Macaca mulatta: one gene and its partners. The protein of the gene in region 2 interacts with the protein of the main gene of each other region in a pairwise test. Links are inferred from orthologs where the notes say so. Each region holds a gene or a part of one and is shown on either strand. Other genes may lie near its edges.

Region 1 (7,597 bases), on a different chromosome or scaffold from region 2:
ATAAAAGAATACAAAATTAGGCAGAGTCTTGGAAGGGGCATGAGTAAGGAGGGGTCTTGAACTTAGTTAAACATCATCGGCTTCCCAGTAAATCTGCTCCTGGGGTGTGTAAATTGGAATTACTCTTTTGGATGGCAATGTGGTAACATCTGGGAAAATGACAATGTGCATATCCCCTGTGACCCAACAAGTCACATCCTCCACGTGTTTATGGGAGAAATTTCCAACAGGTAACTACAGAGGCAAATATGAGAATGTTCTTGGCAATGCTGTCTGCAGTAGCTAAAGGCAGCAAATTGGAACTATCCCAAGTGTCTATTAACAGAAGACTGGATAAACAAAGTCAACATGTATAAATCTCAGAACATAATGTTGCCTGGAAAGCATGTTGCAGAAGGATATGTACGGTACGCTGGCATTTTCATAAAGTGTGAAAACGTAAAACAATGCCATGTGTAGGTCATATGTGTGCAGTGAAAGTCTAGACTGTGCTTGGAAGTGAACACCACATTCAGCTTACAGGTGGCCTTGAGGATGGAGGGAGAGAGAGAATAAGATAACAGAAGGATGTCTAGGGGGCTTAGATGCCATCTGAAAGCTTCATTTCCTTAATACATAAAAGCAAACAAGGCAAAATATTAAGATTTGACAAAGTTGGGCAATAATTATATAGGTGTCTGTTAAAGTATTATATATATTCTGTGATATTTGAAATATTTCTATTTTTGTTTTTTAAACTTGAGCGAAATTAACATATCATCAAACCAATCATTTTAAGTTGACAGTTCAGTGGCATTTAGTGCATTCATGGTATTGTGCACCCACCAACTCAATCTAATTCCAAAGCATTTGCATTACCCCCCAAAAGGAAACCCCATAGCCATTAAACAATTGCTCCCCTCGGTGCCTGGTTAACCACCAGGGTTTGTGTTCTGTCTCTACAGATTTATCTATTCCAGATATTTTATATAAATGGAATCATACACTATATGACCTTTTGTGCCTGGTATCTTTTGCTTAGCATAGAGTTTTCAAGGTTTATCAACTTTGTAGCACGTATCAGTACTTCGTTCCTTGCTATGGCCAGGTCGTATCCATCGTTTGGGTGTGTCGCACTTTGTTATTTAGTTCATTGCTGATGGCCACTGGGCTGTGTGTTATTGTGAAGAGTGCTGCTATGAACATGGATGTGCCAATACTAAAGTCCCTGCTTTGAATCCTTTGGTTATATACCCAGGAGTGGAATTGCTGGGTCAGAGGGTCATTTTCTGAGGGAACACCAAACTGTTTTCCACAGTGACTGAACCATTCACATTCCCACCAGCGACATACAAGGGTTCTAATTTCTCCACACCCAATACTTGACGTTTTCCATTTTTTGGATGCTAGCCAGCCTAATGGGTGTGAAGTGGTATCTCATTGTGATTTCTTTCTTTCTATTTATTTATTTAATTTATTTACTTATTTATGTATTTTTTAAGACCAAGTCTCACTCTGTTGCCCAGGCTGGAGTGCAGCAGCGTGATCTTATTGCAACCTCTGCCTCCCAGGTTCAAGCGATGCTCATGCCTCAGCCTGCTGAGTAGCTGGGACTACAGGCATGAGCCACCACGCCTGGCTAAGTTTTTAAAAAAAATTTTTTTATTTTTAGTAGAGACATCGGTCAGTCTGGTCTCGAACTCCTGACCTCAGGCGATCCACCCACCTCAGCCTCCCAAAGTGCTGGGATTACAGGCGTGAGCCACCGCACCTGGCCTCATTGTGGTTTCAATTTTGTTTTCCTAATGCCTGATGATGTTAAGCATCTTTTTATGTCCATATTGGCCATTTGTATATCTTCTTTGTAGAAACCTCTGTTCAAGTCCGTTGCTCATTTTCTAATTGGGTTGTCTTTTTGTTGAGTTGTAATATTCCATAATTTAAAAAAATACCTCCCCCGGGGTGGCCAGCGCCTTCTCAGGCCGTTTAATTCCGCATTCCTTCCACACATCAAATATATACAGCTTCATATTTACAGTCCACACAGAGGAGAACAGAGAGGCTTGGGGCCAGCTTTCTCCTCTTCTCTCCCAGGCACCTGCTAGCCCACCCCTAATCTAGAGCATGAGGAAGACGCCTGGAGGTGACTGTGCGTTGCGGGTCTCCTGGGAAGTGAGGAAGGGAGGTGGGGAACAGGGGTGAGGTGGAGAAGTGACTTTCTAAGTCAGCTGAGAGAAGCGTTCTGGGCGAGGGGGAGTTGTTTGTTCTGGAAGCCCCGTATGGGCAGGCCACAGAGCCACGCTGGCGCTGTCGGAGCAAGCTGCCAGTAGTAGACGGTTCCAAGGTTTCCCACACCCCTGTAGTCTCTGCAGCATTGGTGGGTTGGGTGGGAGCCTCCGGTCACCTTTCCCGCAGATGAGATCGCCCCGTCTCACTGGACTGTTCCTACTCTCAGGGGCACTCCCTCTTGTATGTTGAAGACCAGCGAGGGGCTGGCTCTCTGTGAATGGTGGGGCTGCGTTCATTGGCTTCCCGGGTTTCCTCTAAATGTAACTGCTTTGATTCCGCCTATCCCTAGGATTTAAAGTCACCGGTTCCACCCAGGTTGGGGTTCGACTCGACTTTCACCCCAAGTTCAATGATAGTCCTGCTCCCAGGCCGCCGCAGCGGCCCCTGCCTAGCCTCTGCCCCCAAGCCCTCCTTGGACGAACTGACCCTCCCCCTCCAATCAGGCAATAACAACCTGGGGTCCAATTTTTAAACAGCCAGGCTCCGACATTTTCTTTCCCCTCCAACTCTCCACGCCTGTGCTTCTGAGGGTGGGGTGCCGGAAAAGGTGTCCCTGAGGCGGCGACGGACCGCACCCACAGAATATACAGGGCACACCCCTCCCAGGTGAGGGCCAGCGGGCCCCGGGGAGTTGAGGCTGAGGGAGGTCACTTCGGCCTCGCGACGCCTTGAGCGTTTATCAGGAGTTCTCAGTAGGAAGCGCTTTCCCGCAGCCTCAGGCAGAGACCGTGCGCGCAAGGCGGGACCGACCGCAGGTGCAGAGGCCCCGGAGCTGCCCAAGGTCAGCCAGGGCACGCGGATCGCTCTCGCCGGCCCCCCAACCCCCGTCTCCTCCACTCCCACCCCACACACGGGGCAGAAGGACTGCGGCCGCGCAAACTAGGACCTCATTTCCAGATCGAATTGGTCGCAAATACGTCCCCTCGCCAGAAACTGTAAAAGGCCAGAAGAAAATAAACCGGATTCAACTCCCTCTCATCTCCAGATCTCGGTTGGTAACACTAACGTTTCTTTTGCTGATTTTTTTTTTTTCCGACACTATCTCCCTTCAAAACGCTGCGCACTTCTACCCAACCGCGCAAAGCGCGGCGTGAGCTTCGGCGGCGCCGGGCGCATCTGGAGGGCCCCGAGCGCAGCTCTGGGACCAGCGCACCAAGAGCCGTCCCCGCCTGACCCGCTGCCAACATCCGACCCCGGTTGGGAACCCGGTTTTTCCTCCATAGTCCTGTAGACTGTTTCCCTCATTCCGTTGGTCTAGAAGGGGACAAACGACCGGAGGTGGGAGGGGGCTTCCCTGGCTTAGTCCCCGCCCTGTCCCTGCTGCCCCGATGCTCCCGGGACCTGCGGAGCTAGCGGATCCAGTCCGAGAGCTGTGCTGGGCGCCCGAGAGAGCGCACGGCTCAGCATCCCCCAGTCCCTTCCCTGGCCAGGAGTCACTCACAAACTCAAAGATGAAGAGCAAGTCGGGGAAGGTGGTGAAGACCGAGAAGCCACTGGGCAGGGTGCTGCCCCCCGACGCCGCTGCGGGGGCCATGAGGGCGTGCTGGCGTGGGCCTCGGGACTGGACGCGCGCCGCTCAGACTGCGCGCAGACCTCTCGCTTGCTCCGCGGAGCCCAGTGGCCTGGGCGCCCCCGCGCGCGGGTTAAGAGCAGGGGAGCCCGAGCAGAGGAGGGAGGAGCCCAGGCCGCCGCCCAGCTCCGCCCCCAGCCCCACGCCCCGGCAGACCCGGCCCGAGCGCCGCGGGCACCGCCCTGAACCTCCTCGAGGGCCCGCTGCGGGCGTGCAGAGCTGGGGACGGTGGACCTGACTCCTGCGTTCCAGCCGTGGGTGGCACCTCTTGTGGGAAGCAGGGCAAAACCACTTTGGTCAGGGGCTCCTCATGCCTTTCTCGCTTCGTAGGTGACCAGTATCTCCTAAGAATGTTAACCATCAGTAACCGGGACCCCAAACCCACCAAGGCACCCCTCGGGTCACCATTGCTCTAACTTTGAATTTGGGTCTCCTTCATTTTGCCGCTGGATGCGTTAATGTGCGCGACCCACAGCTCCAGGCGGCGGTTTCCTGGCGGAACGGGACCGCCGCCACAGCCTGGGGGTCTGCAGTGGGGGCTGGGACCAGCCCCGGCCGCCGGCCCGTTCCGCGTACCCCGAGCCGGCGCTGGTTCGGCGCTGGGAACGTGCACCGGGGCCTCTGTACTTGGCGCTGCGCGCCTGCCTGAGGGAAGAAGGTTGCTCCCAGCTGTGCCGGCCCCAGCAGAAGGCTGCTGGTGGTGGTGCTGGGGCAGGTCTGCCTTGGTTCCATGGGACAGGAAGGGACGTTACCAGAAGAGATTCATCTCTTTCTCTTGGTCTGGGCAGCCCGGGCCTTTGGAGGGTGGGACCGCTGCTACCTCCACCCGCATGTTCTTTGCTGCCTGTTGACTGCCAGTGTTTCCTGTTTTGTTTCTCTGTTTCACTATCTATTACTTTTTGCCTTAAAAAAAAAAAAAAAAAAAAAAAAAACAAGTATTACTATACAGCAGTTGCCTATTTATTTTAATTTACTATTAATAGTGGATTGCTGTGTTTCCTCCTACAAACACTGAAGCCTGAAATCCGCCCCCGTCCGGATTCTCTCCTGCCAAGAGGGAATTGTCCCCGCAGCCTCCAGCTCAGACTCCCAACCCTTCTTTCTTTTCACTGGCAGCTGCTGCAGGCAGGACAAGGGGCTCCCCTCTCTCCAGTGGGGCCCTCATCTCTCCCTGCTGCACAATTCTTCCTCCTTCCCAGTCCCTAGGGAGAGAAGTACATTCGTGGACGCATTTTCCAAAGAAAAGTAGCGCTCCCATCAGCTGGCCATTCTAAAGCGCCTCTGGAAAGGGGCCAGGCATTTGAAATGAGAAAACCCCGCTGTGCCTCTGAGAGAGCTGCTAGCTCGGATGGCTGCAACCAAGTTCACTGTGTCGGGTCCCCAGGGCAGCATCTCTCTGGGCACAATGGGCTGTGGGACTTCAGAAGCCCAGGTCCTCACCCACCGTGGGCATCTCATAGCTCGCTAGTTGGACCTGCTGGCCTCTGAGAGGACATCTTCTTCCTCCCCAGGAGACCGTCCTGGGAACAAGCCTTAAAGCAAGGTGGCTACAGGAAGCCGCAGCCTGCAGTGGGGGGTGAGATGACCCTCGGGCAGTCCAGCGAAAGCAGCTTGGAAATTTCCCATCAGCACACACTAATTAAAAACAAGAAGATCCTATCAACTCCTAATAATGTCCTTGCCTGGTCTGGAGGGGTTTTGTCTGTAGTTTGGTTTGGTATTTTGCTACTTCTTTCACGCCTCTGTTGCTAACTCTTCCCACTTGGGCCTGAGCCTTTGGGGAAAGCTCACTCCAGGGGCAGCTCAGTCGAGCTCAGCAGTCCCAGCCCTCCTTTGATAAGGCAGAGGGGCGGCAATCTCTGAAAGAGGCTTCAGAGGATGAGGAGGGCAGCCCGGCCAGGGTCAAGCGAGTTTGTCCCTATCTCTGTGACTCCTTCCTTCCACTGGAGTTCTCCGCCTGATGTTCATCTTCATGACTAGACTCTACCCTCCGCAGGGCGTCCTCCAACCACCCCCATCTGCCTCTCTCCTTCCCCACCCTAGCATATCCTCAGCCCCAAGCCGAACCCAACCTCTGGTGAGTGCTCGATGCTGGATGGCTCCAGCCTTGTCTGTGCTTGACCACCAGAGGAGGACATGTAAGTGCCCTGTTTGGATGTAAGAAGCACTGGTAAGGAGTGAGGCACTGGTAATAGAGAGGCATTGGTAAGAGAGAGGCATTGGTGAGAGAGAGGCATTGGTGAGAGAGAGGCATTGGTAGGCTTCCCCAGGTGCTCTAGGTCACCTGCTGATGAACGAAAGGCATTGGTGAGAGAGAGAGAGAGAGAGAGAGAGAGAGAGAGAGAGAGAGAGAGAGACATTGGTAAGAGAGAGGCATTGGTGAGTAAAGATGGGCCTGTCTTCATTTCCCAGCACAGCTTCCCCACGTGCTCTGGGCCACCTGCTGATCAATGTGGTGGTTGATACTTATCAGAAGCCCAGGACCATATTTTGGTTTCCAGCAGGATATGAAAAAATAACTTCAGCCAGTAGTAACTCAGTGAGTGTCCTCAGTCTTCCCAGTGGGTGTGAATAAGAGGGTGGATCTGGGGCTTCTGTCAAATATTAACTTGGCCTTGGGCGGGTTTCCACAAAGTAGGAATTGGAAAGTTGCCATTGCAGAGCCAGCCTGGGGAAGGAAGAGGTTACCTCCAGCTTGTGTGTGTTCAGGGGGAGGGAGGAGATTGTGGGGAGAGGGATGTGTTTAGGGAAAGATTAATGGGGCAGGAGTTGCCCATTCATAATAGCAGGTGCATTGGTTTTTGAGGTAGGTAAGATGACTCCCATTTTACTGATGAGGTAACAGAGGCTCAGAAGTGTTAAGTAGCTGCCCAAGGACACAGAACTGCTGAGCACCTTGAACCTGAGTGACACTGCACCTCTAAAGCTTCGAACCCTCGATGAAAACCCTGCTCAAGATTAGCAATTGCCATTCAAATGCCAGTTCCATGCAGACATCGGCAGCCTCCCAAATCCAGTCTTCATGGTCATCTCAGGCGTGGCCCTGGGCACCTGCCCTGGTGGACAGGGCTTGGGACCTTCACCTCTGGGAACAGAAGGTAGTGGGGGTCGTCATCCCCATTTATGGATGCCGAGGCTGGGTGCAGACATGAGTTCAGAGAGCTACCCTGAACCCACACTTATCCCTAGGGATTTTATTTGTCTCACAGACACAGTCACCCACAGCCCTGGGTTCCATCGAAGGCGTGAAGCAGTGAGGGCACCTGCTGGTGGATGGGGGAATGGCAGCCTCAGCTGCCTTGGCCTCAGTGCAGGAGGGGAATCTGTTACTAAGGGCCTGCTAAGTCCCAGCACTGCCACAGGCACTTTGCCTGCATGGCCTCATTTAATCCCACAGAGCCTTGCCGGCAGGTGTCACCCACCATACAGGCTAGCGATGGGAGTTAATGTGCCCAGACCACATGGCTGGTGACCAGGCCTCTTGATTCCAGCAGGCAGGCTCTGTGTCTACTGCACAAATCCACAAACTGGAAAATCAGAAGTGGTGGCTGCTCACCAGGGCACTGTCCTCTGACGGGCCACGGGCTCCGTGTGCCCACTGCCTCCAGGGACAATGATCTGCATGAGCTCTTTTCCCCACCCTCTTGTAGGATCATGTTTTCTAGAACCAGGGAGATGTGGCACAACAGGCTGGCATTGTCTGGGTGTCTTGTGGATGGGGATGGAGGGTAGAGGGTATGTGAGTAGGAAAGACAGAGT
Region 2 (7,472 bases):
GTTTTTGTTTGAAATTTTTTGTGTTAGAGTTAGAATAATATGGAATAAAAATAATTTTAAGAAAAATTTGATAAAGTAATAATGGTTTTTTGGAAAAGTATTTCATAGATCTAAAGAACCAAATTTCACCCTCTCATATGGTTCTTATAATTCTTGATTTAACTACTTTCAAAAATTAATTTCTATTTCTCAGTAAGGTTTTTCAGACTCCTCAAACATATTTTTGAGTTATGAAATCAAAATATATACATGCAATTGCATCGGAAGCAAATACTTTCAACAATTATTCTTTCATTTATTCTTTGACAAATTCTGAATGACCATTCCACATTCAGTCCAAAGATATACATTACAATGAGAATTCTATTCCCTGAAAATATGAAATGTATAGAGGCACATTCAATCATTAACGTGAAAATTCCCCTTGTAATCTTCTAAAATAGACTTACAGGGAATAACAACTATTGTTACCACAGAGGCCATTAAGACAAGACAGATGATTCCCAGTATCCCAGCAATGAGCTTCTCTGGAGCTGAGAGTAAATCTGCAGGGAGCGAAATGGGAACAGTGCGAAAGGAGAGGTGGACATAGTTATTTAGAAGATTCAAAAACAAAAGAACCTGAATGCACAGGAATCATACGGAGAAACTTGGACCCCAAACCCTCATCTCCCATTGTAATCTTTTTCTCAGAATAATATACCATTGCATTTTCAGTAAAAATAATGCTCCATGAATTCTTTGACGAAGACTACACATTTCAACAATGAGTTAAATCAGTCTTCATATTTTATATTGAAATAGCATATCTCAACTTGAAATTCTGATCTTTACAAATAGAAAACATGTGAGTACTCCCTGCTCTTTCCCCACATCCCTGTACCCCAAGCTGCACATCCTAGACTGTTATATTGAGGATCTTTTAAATGCTTTACCTTTGCAGTGATTGGTTTTGTCATTCCCTTGAAAATCCTGCGAAGTTTTTTGAAGGTTTAATTCCGCATAGGTTATTTCCTGTTCAGTTACTAAAATGGAGCTTGTATTACCCTTAGGTTTTTGCTGCTGCCTCTTTGGGTTTGGGGGCAGATTCAAGTCTGAGTAGATTACTCCTTGGTTATCCATCTCTGCAGTGTGTGATGTCAGGGACTGTACTCTACAATAACCGTAGTTAAGAAGTTAATAAATGGTTTATATACAATATTCCCTAGTGCAGTTAAAAGGGTGAGGTGGAGAACGAGTATTGGAGCTCATTTTGCATTAAAGAATCTAAAGTTCTTTCTCTAATTTTCTTCAAGCCTAAACAAGTTTCTTATGGTAAAATATTTGTTTTAAAAAATATATTTTTGGGTCGGGCGCGGTGGCTCATGCCTGTAATCCCAGTACTTTGGGAAGCCGAGGCGTGCCGATTACAAGGTCAGGTGATCCATACCATCCTGGCTAACACGGTGAAACCCCGTCTCTACTAAAAATACAAAAATTAGCCGGACACGATGTCAGGCGCCTGTAGTCCCAACTCTCAGGAGGCTGAGGCAGGAGAATCGCTAGAACACGGGCGGCAGAGGTTGCAGTGAGCAGAGATCGTGCCACTGCACTCCAGCCTGGGCGACAGAGTGAGACTCTGACTCAAAAAAAAAAAAAGAGAGAAATTTCTACGTTTGACAAAATATTATTGCTGGGGCAATAAGAAGCAATAAATTACTAAGGAATAAAGAAGTTCAGGAATAAAAATACATTTCTTAAAGTCTGATGCTTTACCTGTATTAAAAATTAAAATGTATTAGAAAAAGTTCTGCACTCATTTTTTATGTTAATTTTGAAATCCAGTAATGGTTAAGACGATGTGGTCTGCACATGAGTAATAGTAAAGTTGAGATATATACACACACACACATATATATAAATTTCTTGCACTAAATTACTTTTATTTAGTAATTTATATACATTAATAAAAATCAATAGGGGTAATTAAATGGTCTTTTCTTAATGGTTGAAATGTTCTAAGAAATTATTACAAATTATTTAAATTATTAAAAATGATTACAAATGTGAATATTTGTACATGTCAGACAATGCTATGTGACACTGTTAACTTATGAATAACCTAAATAGTATTAGGAACACCACATAAATTGTTAATACTTATAGAAGTATTGGTAATTTAATAAGTAATTGGTAATTTATTTCCTGGCTAAATTATGAACCAAAAAATGATAAATAAAAGTACAGGTAATTCATGTTAAAGCACATTTCATTTAAACTTATAGAAAGATTTTACAGTTGTCAAGGTGAGTAAAGGCCACTTTTGTTGTATAAGTACTTGTAAAATTTCAGATAATGTAATTAAATCATTTAGTCAATGGGCTCTGGAGTCAGTGAGATCTAGAATGAATTCTAGCTTTGACACTTACAATGTGTGACCTTTAAAAAGTTATTCTATGTTTAATAACCCAGTTTGTTAATCTAAGACGGGAATAAGAACATATAAAACGTTGCACGTAAAACATTTACCACTCAACCTGGCACTTAAAGTTCTCAATAAGCATTAGCTATTTTAATTATTATTTTAGTCACAATTGTTATGTTACTATTTCTGATTCGTGTCAGTTAAAGAATGGAAAATGAATCTTCAGATAAGTCTCCTATATCCGTGTGCTACATCTTTTTTTGCAATATTTTGATAAACTTTAAAAAAGTATTTTGATTGTTTTGTATTACCTTTAGCATTTTATGTACTCTACCTCATTGTGATTTTTATTAAAAATAAAAACGCTTTTATTTAATCTACATGTCTGAGGAACTGTATTTGGCTTTCATCAATTGATTCATTTATTTTAATAATTTTTAATGGCTAAGCTAAATATAAATTATTATTCAAAGATACATGATGTACTGATTACAAAATACAAAATTAATTGTTCATTATTGTGATGTTAATAGGTTTCACCTAAATTATATTGATCAACAAACCCACTAGGTTTCCACAAACAAGAATTTGAAAACTTTAAGAAATCCTTCAACATATTTCATATGGTTTTTACCCTGAGTTATTCAAATGAAGACAGCAATATTCTACTTTGATTTTACTGTATATTAATTATACCTCCTTTGTACCATATTGAGCACTTGTAATCACCCACTAAATGAGGTAGGCTAGTAGAGAGTTGGAGAGTAGCAACACATACCTTCTGTCCCCAGAAAGTCACACATCCTTTAGTGGAGAGGCCAGGTTAGTCTCAAAAAAAGGCCTGCTATAGCTGGGTAATAAAAGGTGAAATTTAAAGGCATAAATCCAGGATAAGAACAAACAATGCCTACAATCTTCGCAGACTGCCCTGTGAAGGCTCAGAGTGAGTCAAGAGTGGAAAAAGTAGATTTCTCATCAACATGTTACTAAGGTTTGAACAGGAAATTCTACACATGGGCTATTGTGAAATCAGTTTAATCTCATCACACACCTCCAAAATATAGGATACTCTGGTCTGTTAAAAGTACAAGGTTGACTTTGAAAGTGGGTCATTTAGTTGGTCCATTTTTCAAGCGCCTATGAGAATTTTTTTTTCTGTTTTGATCACAAACATTGCCAATCCTCACCTTGTTAAGAGTGCCTTTTAGACTAGCTTGCTAAATCTTAACATTGCATACTTCTTTTCTTTATATTATTTTGTTATGTCACCTCCATTATAATAGAAAACATTCTAAAACTCATAGTAACATTATCAACTGATAGCTACTGATTTTTTCCTTAATTATTCTGAAAAATTACTGCAGTAATTACTCAGTTGACTGTAGCTGACACAAAAACCATCATTGCCAAAGTTATGTTATTAACTTAGTTCTTAAATTTTTGCATTTAATTTTTAAAAAATAGATTATTTAATCTTCAGATTACCGTTGATGAAAATAAATGTATCTTGGAAAGGTAAAATATTAATCAATTTTGAAATATATTAGCATACCAGAGATTGAAATATTAAATAGCTATTCATCACATTCTTCATTTATCCATTCTCCACCATAACAAATTATCTCAACTTCGATAGAAATATTTAGTTGTAAATGACAAAAACTGAAGGCAAGCTCTGTATCGGGAAAAAGTAATTTTAAAATCTCACTAGGAGGAAAGTCAGCAAATTGGCAGAATAGGTGGTCCCCCACACATATGCCCCAACAGCAACAATAATGTTTCAGCCATCCACAGACAAAAGTGGAGGAAACTCCCTTTGAGGGAGTTTTGGAATTCAAGTAGGAGTTTGTAAAATGCCAGTGGAACCCAAGGCCTAGGAGGGTTGCTTTAGAGAATAGATTTGCATCCAAGTGGCAGACTTACCAACAGTGATTCCATCTCCAGACCTGAAAAGAGACCCATCCTCCTGTGGACTTGCCTTCAGCCACATTAGGACTTCGTCATGCTGCCAAAACCATCTGTCCAGGGGCCCAGGAGGAGACTCAAACACTAGTGTCTCAGGAGGTAGGCATATCAACTGTAGTCTCAATGTAGACCCTGAAACAGCCCTCTAACTTGGCTTTAGCTACTCTCAGCCACAACTTTTGAGATCAGTCTTTCACCCACAGAGACTTCCTGGGAGACATACACATCTGTTCCCCTGGGGCATGCTTGCTGACCTCTGTCCTCTAGAAGATATTAAAATGGCCCTGAATCTCCACTCAAACTCCTCTCAACTGTGGCCTGAATTAATCACAGGAAATTGCTGTGAGACTCACTCATCTTTGGCAGCAGTACAGGCTTGCTGACTTCAGTTCCATGGTAGTTTCTGAAACAGCCTTGAATCATGACCCTCATCCTTCTCAGCTGTGGGCTGTGAGCAGTCTTGCCAGCTCAGGGATACAGAGGGAGGGCATGTGCATCCATGTCCCGACTGGGAGACCATTGACCTAGGTTTCACAGCACATCCTGAAATGGGCCAGAAAAGGGGGTTCAACCCTTCTCAGCTATGCTAGAGAGCAGTTTGCCCACACAGGGACCTGGAGAGAGACACCATAAGTGCCCCTAAAGGTACAGACCTTAGTTTTATTTCAGATCTTGAAACAATCCTGTGATCCAGCTCCAGCCCATCTTAACTACAGTCTGAAGCAAGTTTGCCTGCCCAGATACCTGCCAGAAAACACACTCATCCATGACCCCAGAGACAGACATGAAGACACTGGTTTCAGCTATAGACTCCGAGGAAACCTTGTGACTTAGCACTAACTCCTCTCAGCCACAGGTTGAGGAACCCACTCAGAGACCCATGAGCAGCCTTCCCAGAAAACTAGATAAACTCTCCCCCAACTACACACCTAATAATAGACCCACCATCTACAGACCCTGAAGTGGACCCTCATTCCCTCCCCAGCCCTATAGAGTATGATGCTAGAGCCAGTTTGGTCCTCTGAGGGACTAAGGAGGATACAAGCCTGCTAGAAGCCCTAGTAACAGGATCATGAACCAAAGATCCCACTCTGGACCCATAAGCAACCATGTGATCCGGCTGTAACCCCATTCAACCATGACACTGAAGGCAATCTCATCAGCCCAGGACCCTAATAGGAGAAGGTCTTAACCTACCGAAACCAGTCTGTAAAGACTGAAAGAGATGTCTGCTCTTTCAAGTGCACAGACACCAGTACAAGGATAAACAAATAACAAAGCATCAGACATATATGACACCACCAAAGGAAATGAATAAAGCTTTAGCAACTGATTCAAATAAATGGAGATCTATAAGTTTTCTTTAAGATAATTCAAAACAATCATCTTTAAAAATCTCAGTGAGATGCAAAAGAAGAGAGTACTAAAAACTCTAAAACAAAAATACATGAACAAAATAAGAATTTAATAAAGAAATATAAGCCACTAAAAACAACCAAACAAAAATTCTGGAGCTGAAGAACACAATGAAAGAAAGAAATAAGTCAATAAAGAGTTTCAATACCTGACTCAAACACACAAAAGAATTAGTGAACTCAAAAAAGAGTCATTTAAAATTAACAAATTAGAGTAAAAAAAGAAAAAAGAATAAAAAGTGGCAAATAAAGCATAAGAGACCTTTGAGACACCACCAAGAATATGGTATAGAAAGTATAGAAACTTCAGAAGGAGAAGAGAGAGATAAAAGGTCAAAAATATTTTTTCTTTAAAGACATACTGTCTGGAAACCTTCCTCACTTGGGAAGGATATGGAAATCCAGATTCATGAAGCTCAATGAATCATAAGCAAGATCAGCCCAAAAAACACTATTATGAAGCACAATATAATCACATTGTCAAAAGTCTAAGATAAGAGAATCTTGTGGGGGGTTTTGTTTATTTTTTAGCTTAACGTGATCCCATTTGTCCATCTTTGCTTTGGTTTCCTCTGCTTGTGGCGTATTACTCAAAAAATCTTTGGCCAGTCAATTGTCCTTGATAATTTTTCCAATTTTTTTTCTTTCAACTTTTATTTTTAGATACAGGGAGTACATGTGCTGGTTTGTTACATGAATTTTTCCAATTTTTTTTCTTTCAACTTTTATTTTCAGATACAAGGAGAACATGTGCTGGTTTGTTACATGGGTATATTACACCAGGATAGTGAGTATAATCCAAAGTAGGTAGTTTTCTGAACCATTCTTCCCTACTGTCCTCTCCCCTCTAGTAGTCTGCGGTACCTGTCGTTCCCATATTTTTGTCTAAGTGTGCTCAGTGCTTGGTTTCCACTCATAAGTAAGAACCTTCAGTAGTTGGTTTTCTGTTCCTGCATTGATTTGCTTAGGATTATGGCCTCCAGCTCTGTCCATGTTGCTGTAAAGAACATGGTTTTATTCTTTTTTATGGCTGTGTACTAGTCCATGGAGTATATATGCCACATTTTCTTTATGCAATTAATCACTGATGAGCACGTAAGTTGATTCCATATCTTTGCTGTTGTGAATAGTGCTGTGATAAAATGTGTGTGTGCATCTTTTTGATATAATGATCTATTTTCATTTGGATATATTCCCAGTAGTGCAATTGAGGGTCAAATCGTAGCTCTGTTTGAAGTATTATGAGAAATCTCCAAACTGCTTTCCACAGTGGTTAGTCTAGTTTACATTCCCACCAATAGTGTATTAGCATTTTCTTTTTTCTACAGCCTCACCAGCATCTGTTGTTTTTGGACTTTTAAATAGTGGTCATTCTGACTAGTGTGAGACGGTATCTTATTGTGGTTTTGATTTGCATTTCTCTGATGATTAGTGATGATAAGTGTTTTTTAATACGCTTGTTGGATACTTGTATGTCTTCTTTTAAGGAGTGTCTGTTCATGTCCTGTGCCCATTTTTAAATGAGGTTATTGTTTTTCCTTGTTGTTCTGTTTAAATTCCTTACAGATTCCGGATATTAGACTTTTGTCAGATGCATAGTTTGCAAATAAATTTTCCCATTCTGCAGGCTGTCTGTATATTTCATTAACAGTTTATTTTGCTGTGCAGAAGCTTTTTAGTTTAATTAG
Region 3 (7,341 bases), on a different chromosome or scaffold from region 2:
CCCAGGATGTTAGGAAAGCTCTGCTATATCTATAGGTCCTTCCAGCCTGAGGACACATCTTTTGGAACAAAAGATCATGTGGATCCAGGTCCACGGGCTTTTAACACCAATCGCTGTGGCCTACCCAGTCACCAAAACAGCTCATCCTGTTTACCTCCGCCTGTCTGCATCCAAACACGCAGGGCTCCTGGCTGGGCATTCCTTTCCCTCTGGGTGCTTAGGGTATCTAGTTGGTGCTTCTGCTGCCAACTATCCCTTAATTTGACCCTCATGAAGCCTGGCTTCCACATCTCTCAAGCAAAGATGCTGAGGACAGAGGAGAAATACAATCTTCTGGATTAAGGACTCCAAGGCTTAGCTTAGGGTTTTGCAAACAGCTTCAAGTCCCCATCTTGCAACAAGGAAATATTCAAAGGTTTTGATGCTAGGTGGCATCAGTGAGGTCCAAGACCTGGAAAGGCAGTCAGTCTTGTGTCCATATGACTGATGGTGCAGTGAGGCAGTCCCACTGTCACTGCAGCAGAAAAGGGCAGGACATTTCTGAATAGGCACAGCCACCAAACCAAAGATACACGTTTGATCCAATGTCCCAAGGGGGTCTGCCTAAGGCTTAGCTATCATACCACCTTTACAGCTCCCATGTCGACATTTTTTTTTTAAATCACAAAAAGCATTATCCTAAGTGATCAGGAGGGCGCTAAGGGCATGTCTCTAGATAGAGTGAACCATAATCATGCCCAGGATCTCAGCTTCCCCAGTGAGATCACCACCCCTCCCATTTGCCTTGGACTCATGGCTTCCCGTCACATCCCAACCCACTCCAGCAACAGCATTCTGGCTTGTGTCTTCCAATAAGCGTTTCCAGCTCTGGACTGAGAAATGTGTTACAGGCATCCGAGGACAAGCTCGTGGAGCACAAAACCAGCCTCACCGTTTGGTGATGATGAGAAACAGTGGTGGACATTTCCTGAGGAAGAGGTGCTACAGTTCTGCCAGAGATCAGTTGCATGTCCATTCCCCACGATCCATTGCTAGAGAGAATCAGATAGATATCCTGAGTCAGGGAGGGAGTGAGGAGTGAAGGAAAAGGGGAAGGAGAAAGGCCCAGGGATGGCGAAAAGCACCCTGATGCACCTAGCTACCCCGCCCACCCCTGCATGGTAACAGCCAACGTTTTATGACTTAAAAGCACGTTGTAAATGGAAAAGTTCTCCATGCACACGGAAACGATTATGTGCAGAGATGTTTACTATAGTAGAAGGAGCCATGAACTCAACCTGAGACACCTGCATTCAAGCCTTCTCTCCTCCCAGCATCCCTGGGGATCATTCCCCAAGCCCCTCTCTCTGAGTCTAGTTCCTTGTATACAGCTCCTATCAATCTGATGTTATCATCACCAGGCACCATGGAGATACTGTGAAGATGCTTGTAAATGTTAAACCAAGTCACAAATCCCCAACATAATTATCTCTCACAGAGACTACAAAATCATGCTGACAGGCCGGGCACAGTGGCTCACGCCTGTAATCCCAGCACTTTGGGAGGCGGAGGCGGGCGGATCATGAGGTCAGGAGTTCGAGACCAGCCTGGCCAACATAGTGAAACCCCGTCTCTACTAAAAATAAAATAATAAAAATAAAAATGAGCCAGGTGTGGTGGCAGGCACCTGTAATCCCAGCTACTCGGGAGGCTGAGGCAGGAGAATCGCTTGAACCCGGAAGGCAGAGGTTGCACTGAGCTGAGATCACGCCATTGCACTCCAGCCTGGGCGACAGTGCGAGACTCCGTCTCAAAAAAAAAAAAAAAAGAAAAAAAAAAAAGAAAAGAAAAATTAAAAAGAAAAAGAAAAAGAAAATCAGGCTTACAATGTGCCTTAAATTAAGAAGTGAAAGCCACCATAGGAAAACTGCCTGAATGTCTGCTCATCTTCATCGCCAAGAAAATAACTTTAAGATCTCATGGGTTGGACAGTTTTGTAACATAAGTTACTCTGATGGCCTGTTTCTATCAGTGGAAGCTTTACTAACAAGGCGTTGTGTTCATGACGTAAAGGCGACATGGGACCAGTGAACTCTTTTCCAGAAAAGCCCATTTTAACTTTCCAATTTCAAGTCCTAAAAGGGTGTTTTATAAATTAATTCACCCATCTGACTACGGTTTGGATTAAAAAAAAATCCATAAATACCCCTCTTCTTCAATGAGGCTGCATCAAGAAAAAAAAAAAGTTAAACAATCTTATCAAATGAAGGTCGGGGCCCCTAGATCTGCTGTGAAGTTATTTGGCTTAAATAGAGACCTGCGCACCTAACCCAGCCCAGCGCTCGCTTCGTTTCTATCACTGAATCTGCTCTCGTTTTCTCAAAGCAACTGGAAGGGGGCAGATTGCCAGAAACTTCCCTGGGACGTCTGAGACTTCCAACTGTCTGCAAATAACACAGTCCTGAACCAGAAGGAGCAAGGGCTGGGAACCCAGATAGGGAAGAGCGGGCCGCGCAGGGAGCCTCCCAGCCAGGCACTCACGCTGACGATCGTGGAGACGAACAGCAGCACCAGCACCGCGACGTGGAGGACGATGATACCCAGCAACAGGAGGAGCATTCTGGCGGCAAGTTCTGCTCAGCGGAGTTTCTGCCTGTGGGGAGAGCGCTGGGCGTGAGGCCGAACGCACTGGGCCGAACGAGGGAGGCGCGCGCAGAGGGAGGGTCCCGCGCACTAGCGTGAGGCCCGGCCTGGCCCAGCGCCCGCAGCCCGCCCGCCCGCGCGGGTCAGGAGCCTTCGCGCCGCCTGCCGCCGAGAGGGGGCAGCAGCCTCCTGCAGGACCAGCGCCCAGCGTCCAGCGCCCAGCCGGACCCGCCTGCAACGGAACATCTTTGCTTTTAGAAACAAAACAAGCGGTTCGCACGTCTAAAAACACCCAGGGAATAGAGGGGTTTCCAGAAAATATGACCAGAGGCCACTGCACGCTTCCACCCACCCCGAGCGCCTCCCGGAGACCGCCCTGTAAGGGGAGAGGTCCCGTTCTCCGAGACCCCAGTTCAGATTGTGAATTCGCCTACGGGGTGGAGGTAGGGGTGAGGGGAGTAGGCGCCCAGATTTCCGTGATAGACCTGGAGATACCCGTGACATGCGCTGGGAGAGAGAGCAGCGAGGAGGCTGGTTTCCCAGACCCCAGTGCTCTCCGCATTCCGTTCGTCTCCAAGTTTCCACCCAATTCTGCCAGCGTAGAGGAACCGTCCTGGCCCCAGCTCAGCCTCGCGCAGACTCTGGCGGCTCCGGAGAGGCGGTGCAGAGCCAGAGGAGTGTGGAAAGGAAAAATGGCTCGGGAGGGTTGCCCGGACCCTGCGCTTCCCGTCCACCGCGCGCTTCCCCAGGCGCGCCCAACTGAGACTCCTGGGGGCAGGGGGCATTCTGCTCCTGCGCTAGACCCGCATGCTCGCCTAGGGGTCCAGTCTGCACCCCAGGCACTCAAAGCCAGGACACGGACCCCATCAAGACTGAGCTCCGGTCTGGGCGCGGTGGGACAGGAGCCCAGGAGCCTGGACCGAAGGGAGTAGATGTCCAGCGGATGGGAGAGAGAGACAGAGTAAAAGGCCGAGTCCGATAATTTCAGCCGGTCAGAGCTGGCAGGCCATCTATCCCAAGTAATGCGGTCCTCGCCCCTCATTTTAGACTTTGGGGGCAGTGAAGGCTGGGATGACTTGTTAGAGGACATGCATGGCTGTGGAAGATCTGACTGAGACTCTGGGGACCATTTCAGGCAGAGTCTTGGGCCAGGGAAACAACGTTTCAATAACCCAGTTTGGAAAGTACCCAATCTCAGGCCCCTCCGTTTCTCTCCACAAGCATCACATTCAAAGACACTGGAATGCGCTGGAAGAAATAAACAAGGATTTCTGATGACTCCCAGAGGGTTTGAATTAAACCTCAGATGGCATGAGGCTGGGAACTGGGGAGCCACAAGAGTCCAGCACTCTCGGGATGTCCGCCACAGGGGCTGTTTTGCCACTGTGTCCCGGAGTCAACGCCTCTTCAGCAAGGCGAAAACTGAGACGCCCTTATCCTCTATCCAGACACCAGCACCATCACCCTTGCCCTGTAAGGTCTTACAGACCATAAAGGCTCCCCTCGTTGTATTACGCCAAGCCCCATTGGAAGGGAACAGGACACACAAGGGACCCTGTGCCCCTAAACAGAAGCTCCAGGGAGCTGGCCAAAGCCCCGCGCCTGCTCTGCGCCTTCTGACACCCTCACTGGAAGATGCCCACATTTCTCCTCCATCTCCTTCACTGTCCCCACCAAATCACTTACAGCCCAAAGGAACAGCTGTCCCGATCCTCAGGGTGGCCTCAAGTACAAACTCGGGTGCGTTGGCTCCGCTGCCGGCGCGGTCAAAGCTGCGCTGCGGGGCTGCGCGCGCGCGAAGCAAGGGGGCAGTGGGAGGCTCCCGGCGTTCCCCTTTAACGGGAACAACGCCCTGTTTGCGTCGCTGCAGTAGGGTGTGTCCCTGGGTCAGCGTGTGCGGGAGGGCGGGACTCAGGGAGGAGAGAGGGCAGGAGAGAGGGAGGGCAGGAGACAGTTAACTTGGCCTTAAATGCGCCTCAGGGAAAAGTTGGTCTCTGCAAAATCGCGGCGACTTTTACTCGAAACCAGAGGCGGCCGAGCTTTCTCACCTCCCACCTCCCTCCTCCCCCGGCCCCGTGGAGATCATGGAAACCTAGTGTTGACCGAGAAACTGGCTCCTCAGCCCACCCTGGGAAGACTCAGCCAAATGTAGCTCCGCGGATGCCCAAGGATGGGCTTCGGGGCGCGCCGACGCCGACCGCGCCCGCGCGGGGCTGAGGTTGGATTCCACTCCCATTAACAGAGGGCAGCGGGCGCTTGAGCGCTGAAGGAAGTCCCTCTCTTCTCGGGTCCTGGAGCCCCTGCCCTGTCCTGGCGTCTTAGCCGGGCACACCTGCACCTCGTCGGTCCCCGCTATTACTGTCTGCACCTACCAAGCATGCCGGCTTCCTAGGATTGGCAGGGATTGATCTAGCGGGCTCTGCTTGAGTGCGAATTAGGGAAAGAAAAGTCCGGCGACTACCGGATAGCGTGGTCTGGGATTGGGCTCCTCCTAGCCTGGGCAAAACCAGACTACCACCGAATAAGCTCAGGCAAAGTGTTCCTGCAGCAGTCGGGCTTGGCTGTCAGCCTTGGCTGGCGTCCTGGCCATGGGGTTTAGGGGGCGGGTGCGAGGTGGCCATTTGAGGTGGGGTTGGAGCAGCCAAGGAAATCAGCTGATTCATAGCCTCCTAACGTGACCCGCCCAGCGTTACAGGGAGAGAGGCTAGCCCTTCAGTCTCCGCTTGGCAGAGGCGCGCCCAATGAGACTCCCGTGCGCAGGCCAGCCTTGATGCACAAGACGGGGAGCAGGAATGTGGATGTTAAAGGTCTTTGCCTGAAAATGCAGCAGTTCACACGCGCGCGCGCGCGCGCACACACACACACACACACACACTTCCCTACCTCTAGTGTACTGTGTCATAGAAGCTCATCCCTCTCAATGATTCAAATAATTCTATATTAATTTACAATTTGAAAGGAGCTGCTACTTTAGCTAATTGTATATTCTTACTGTAAGTAAAAATAAATTTGAAAAAGTCTTCAAACGGTGATCTTTTTAAAACTCTCATGTTATCAGATTAAAATGAAGTGTACTTGTAAATTGTATTTACAGTTCCCATTACACGCCAGGCACTTTGTCTGGACTTTTGTATGCATGGTCTGTGAGAGGCAGTGGTTAGGCATTCTGTCTCTGGGCTCCAACAAACCTAATCACCTTGCTTACTTTTGTTGTGAGTTTGGACAATTTCTGAAGTTCAGTGAGCTTCAGTTTTCTCAGATGCAAAAGGAACTAGTAATGCCTGCTTTAAAGGTTTATGGTGATGATTGAAGGAGACAATATGTACAAAGCAGTTAACATCGTGTCTGCAACATAATAAGGGCCCAGTGCCCAAATTGCCACCACTATTGTTATATCACATTTAACTCTCACATCAACTCTTCAGGGAAGACCTGACCACCTCTGCATGAAAGTAGCTTGTAACTCTGATTCGTAGGTCGATCGATCGATCGATAGACAGGTAGATCGATAGATTGATAGATATTTATAAATGAAAGTGCATAGGCAAGTAGAAAAAAAATGTCTAAAGACCTGGAAGTGTTTTCTTTCCTCCATGGGTCATTTTATAGGTTAGATTTGCTCTAGAAATTATTACTTTGTTTTATGCTGTTTGGACATTTATTTATTTAACCAACATTTTTGTGATTACTACGTACTCAGGACAGTTCTAAGTAAGCACTTTACAAATATTAGCAAATCTAACTCAGGATTTTCCTTCCCTTCCTTTGTGATTTTCAAATAAACTTTTTAATAAAGTCTAATACACATACAAAAAAAGTGTACATATTGGGTGTTACAGGTCGCTTCTTCCTTTCTTTTGAACCCAATAGTTTAATCAATAACCACCCAGGTCACAGCAACACCATACGCTGCCAGACAGGTAAACCCAACCCATCTGTCCCTCACTGCCTCTGGTCTCCTGCCTGGCTCTCAATGGTGGGAGAGGAAATGCTACTCAGTGCCTGCTGACCAGGCTTGCCACACCCAGAGCCTGGCTGGTCAAGGCTCTGCCACAGGTGGCAGCTTCTCCCTAACCTGCTTACCAAGGCCGCCTGCCGGGTGTGTGTGAACAGCTATTTTCCATGGGGGAAGAAGCATCTAGATTCCTTTCTTCCTTTCAATCTGGATGCATTAGGGTTTCTAGATGCTCTCAGATGGCCCCCCACCTCCCCAGCCAGAGTGTATATCCACCTCTTAACCAAGGATATAAAAAAACCCCTGAATGTCCAGTCAATTCCAACACAAATGCACCATCTCTCCTGCAATCCTTTTCATTTGCAGCTTGCAGGGGGTGGGGAATTAGGCAATTCTTGTAAAGCATAGGCATGCATCACCCAGAGGCACAGGTTGCCAATAAAACTCACCCAGCCAAACAGCGTAACCCCTTCTTCCAAGCGGATTTCTTTGCAGTCAAATGCAAGGGATGCTAAGGCAAGGCCCTCCCCACAGGACAGCCAGAGACCCGCAGTCGACAGACTAAGCCTGCAGCTTCCAACCAGGCTCCCTGAGATGTTCCCTGGTGGTGCTCCCTGTAACTGAAGCCAGACCAGGCGTCTTTCCAGTTTATTCAGGGGCTGGTCCAATGCTGGGATATGTCATGGTGGCCTGAGAGGTTCTCAGCCTCTATTATTTAAAGAGACAGTGTCCAACTTTGTGTGCTTTCCAGAATACAGTGATCC

What was found.
Region 1: the proteins of KLRC1 (region 2) and MAL interact in binary tests that used the Homo sapiens proteins (3 or more experiments, as listed by UniProt). The two-hybrid records come from large-scale screens. The link is inferred for Macaca mulatta from reciprocal best matches to the Homo sapiens genes KLRC1 and MAL.
Region 3: the proteins of KLRC1 (region 2) and PMP22 interact in binary tests that used the Homo sapiens proteins (3 or more experiments, as listed by UniProt). The two-hybrid records come from large-scale screens. The link is inferred for Macaca mulatta from reciprocal best matches to the Homo sapiens genes KLRC1 and PMP22.

What each region holds. Positions count from the first base shown.
Region 1 is NC_133418.1:4,387,007-4,394,603, reverse strand, and holds the start of MAL (myelin and lymphocyte protein), read right to left. Parts: upstream 3,888-7,597; 5' UTR 3,803-3,887; coding exon 3,710-3,802; intron 1-3,709. UniProt on the Homo sapiens protein: May be involved in vesicular trafficking from the Golgi apparatus to the cell membrane. Plays a role in the maintenance of the myelin sheath, and in axon-glia and glia-glia interactions.
Region 2 is NC_133416.1:10,113,267-10,120,738, reverse strand, and holds the start of KLRC1 (NKG2-A/NKG2-B type II integral membrane protein), read right to left. Parts: upstream 4,572-7,472; 5' UTR 4,328-4,571; intron 3,363-4,327; exon of another isoform or gene 3,255-3,362; 5' UTR 3,183-3,254; intron 1,154-3,182; 5' UTR 1,123-1,153; coding exon 936-1,122; intron 546-935; coding exon 450-545; intron 1-449. UniProt on the Homo sapiens protein: Immune inhibitory receptor involved in self-nonself discrimination.
Region 3 is NC_133421.1:16,750,502-16,757,842, forward strand, and holds the start of PMP22 (peripheral myelin protein 22), read right to left. Parts: upstream 4,457-7,341; 5' UTR 4,309-4,456; intron 2,633-4,308; 5' UTR 2,599-2,632; coding exon 2,521-2,598; intron 1,032-2,520; coding exon 932-1,031; intron 1-931. UniProt on the Homo sapiens protein: Might be involved in growth regulation, and in myelinization in the peripheral nervous system.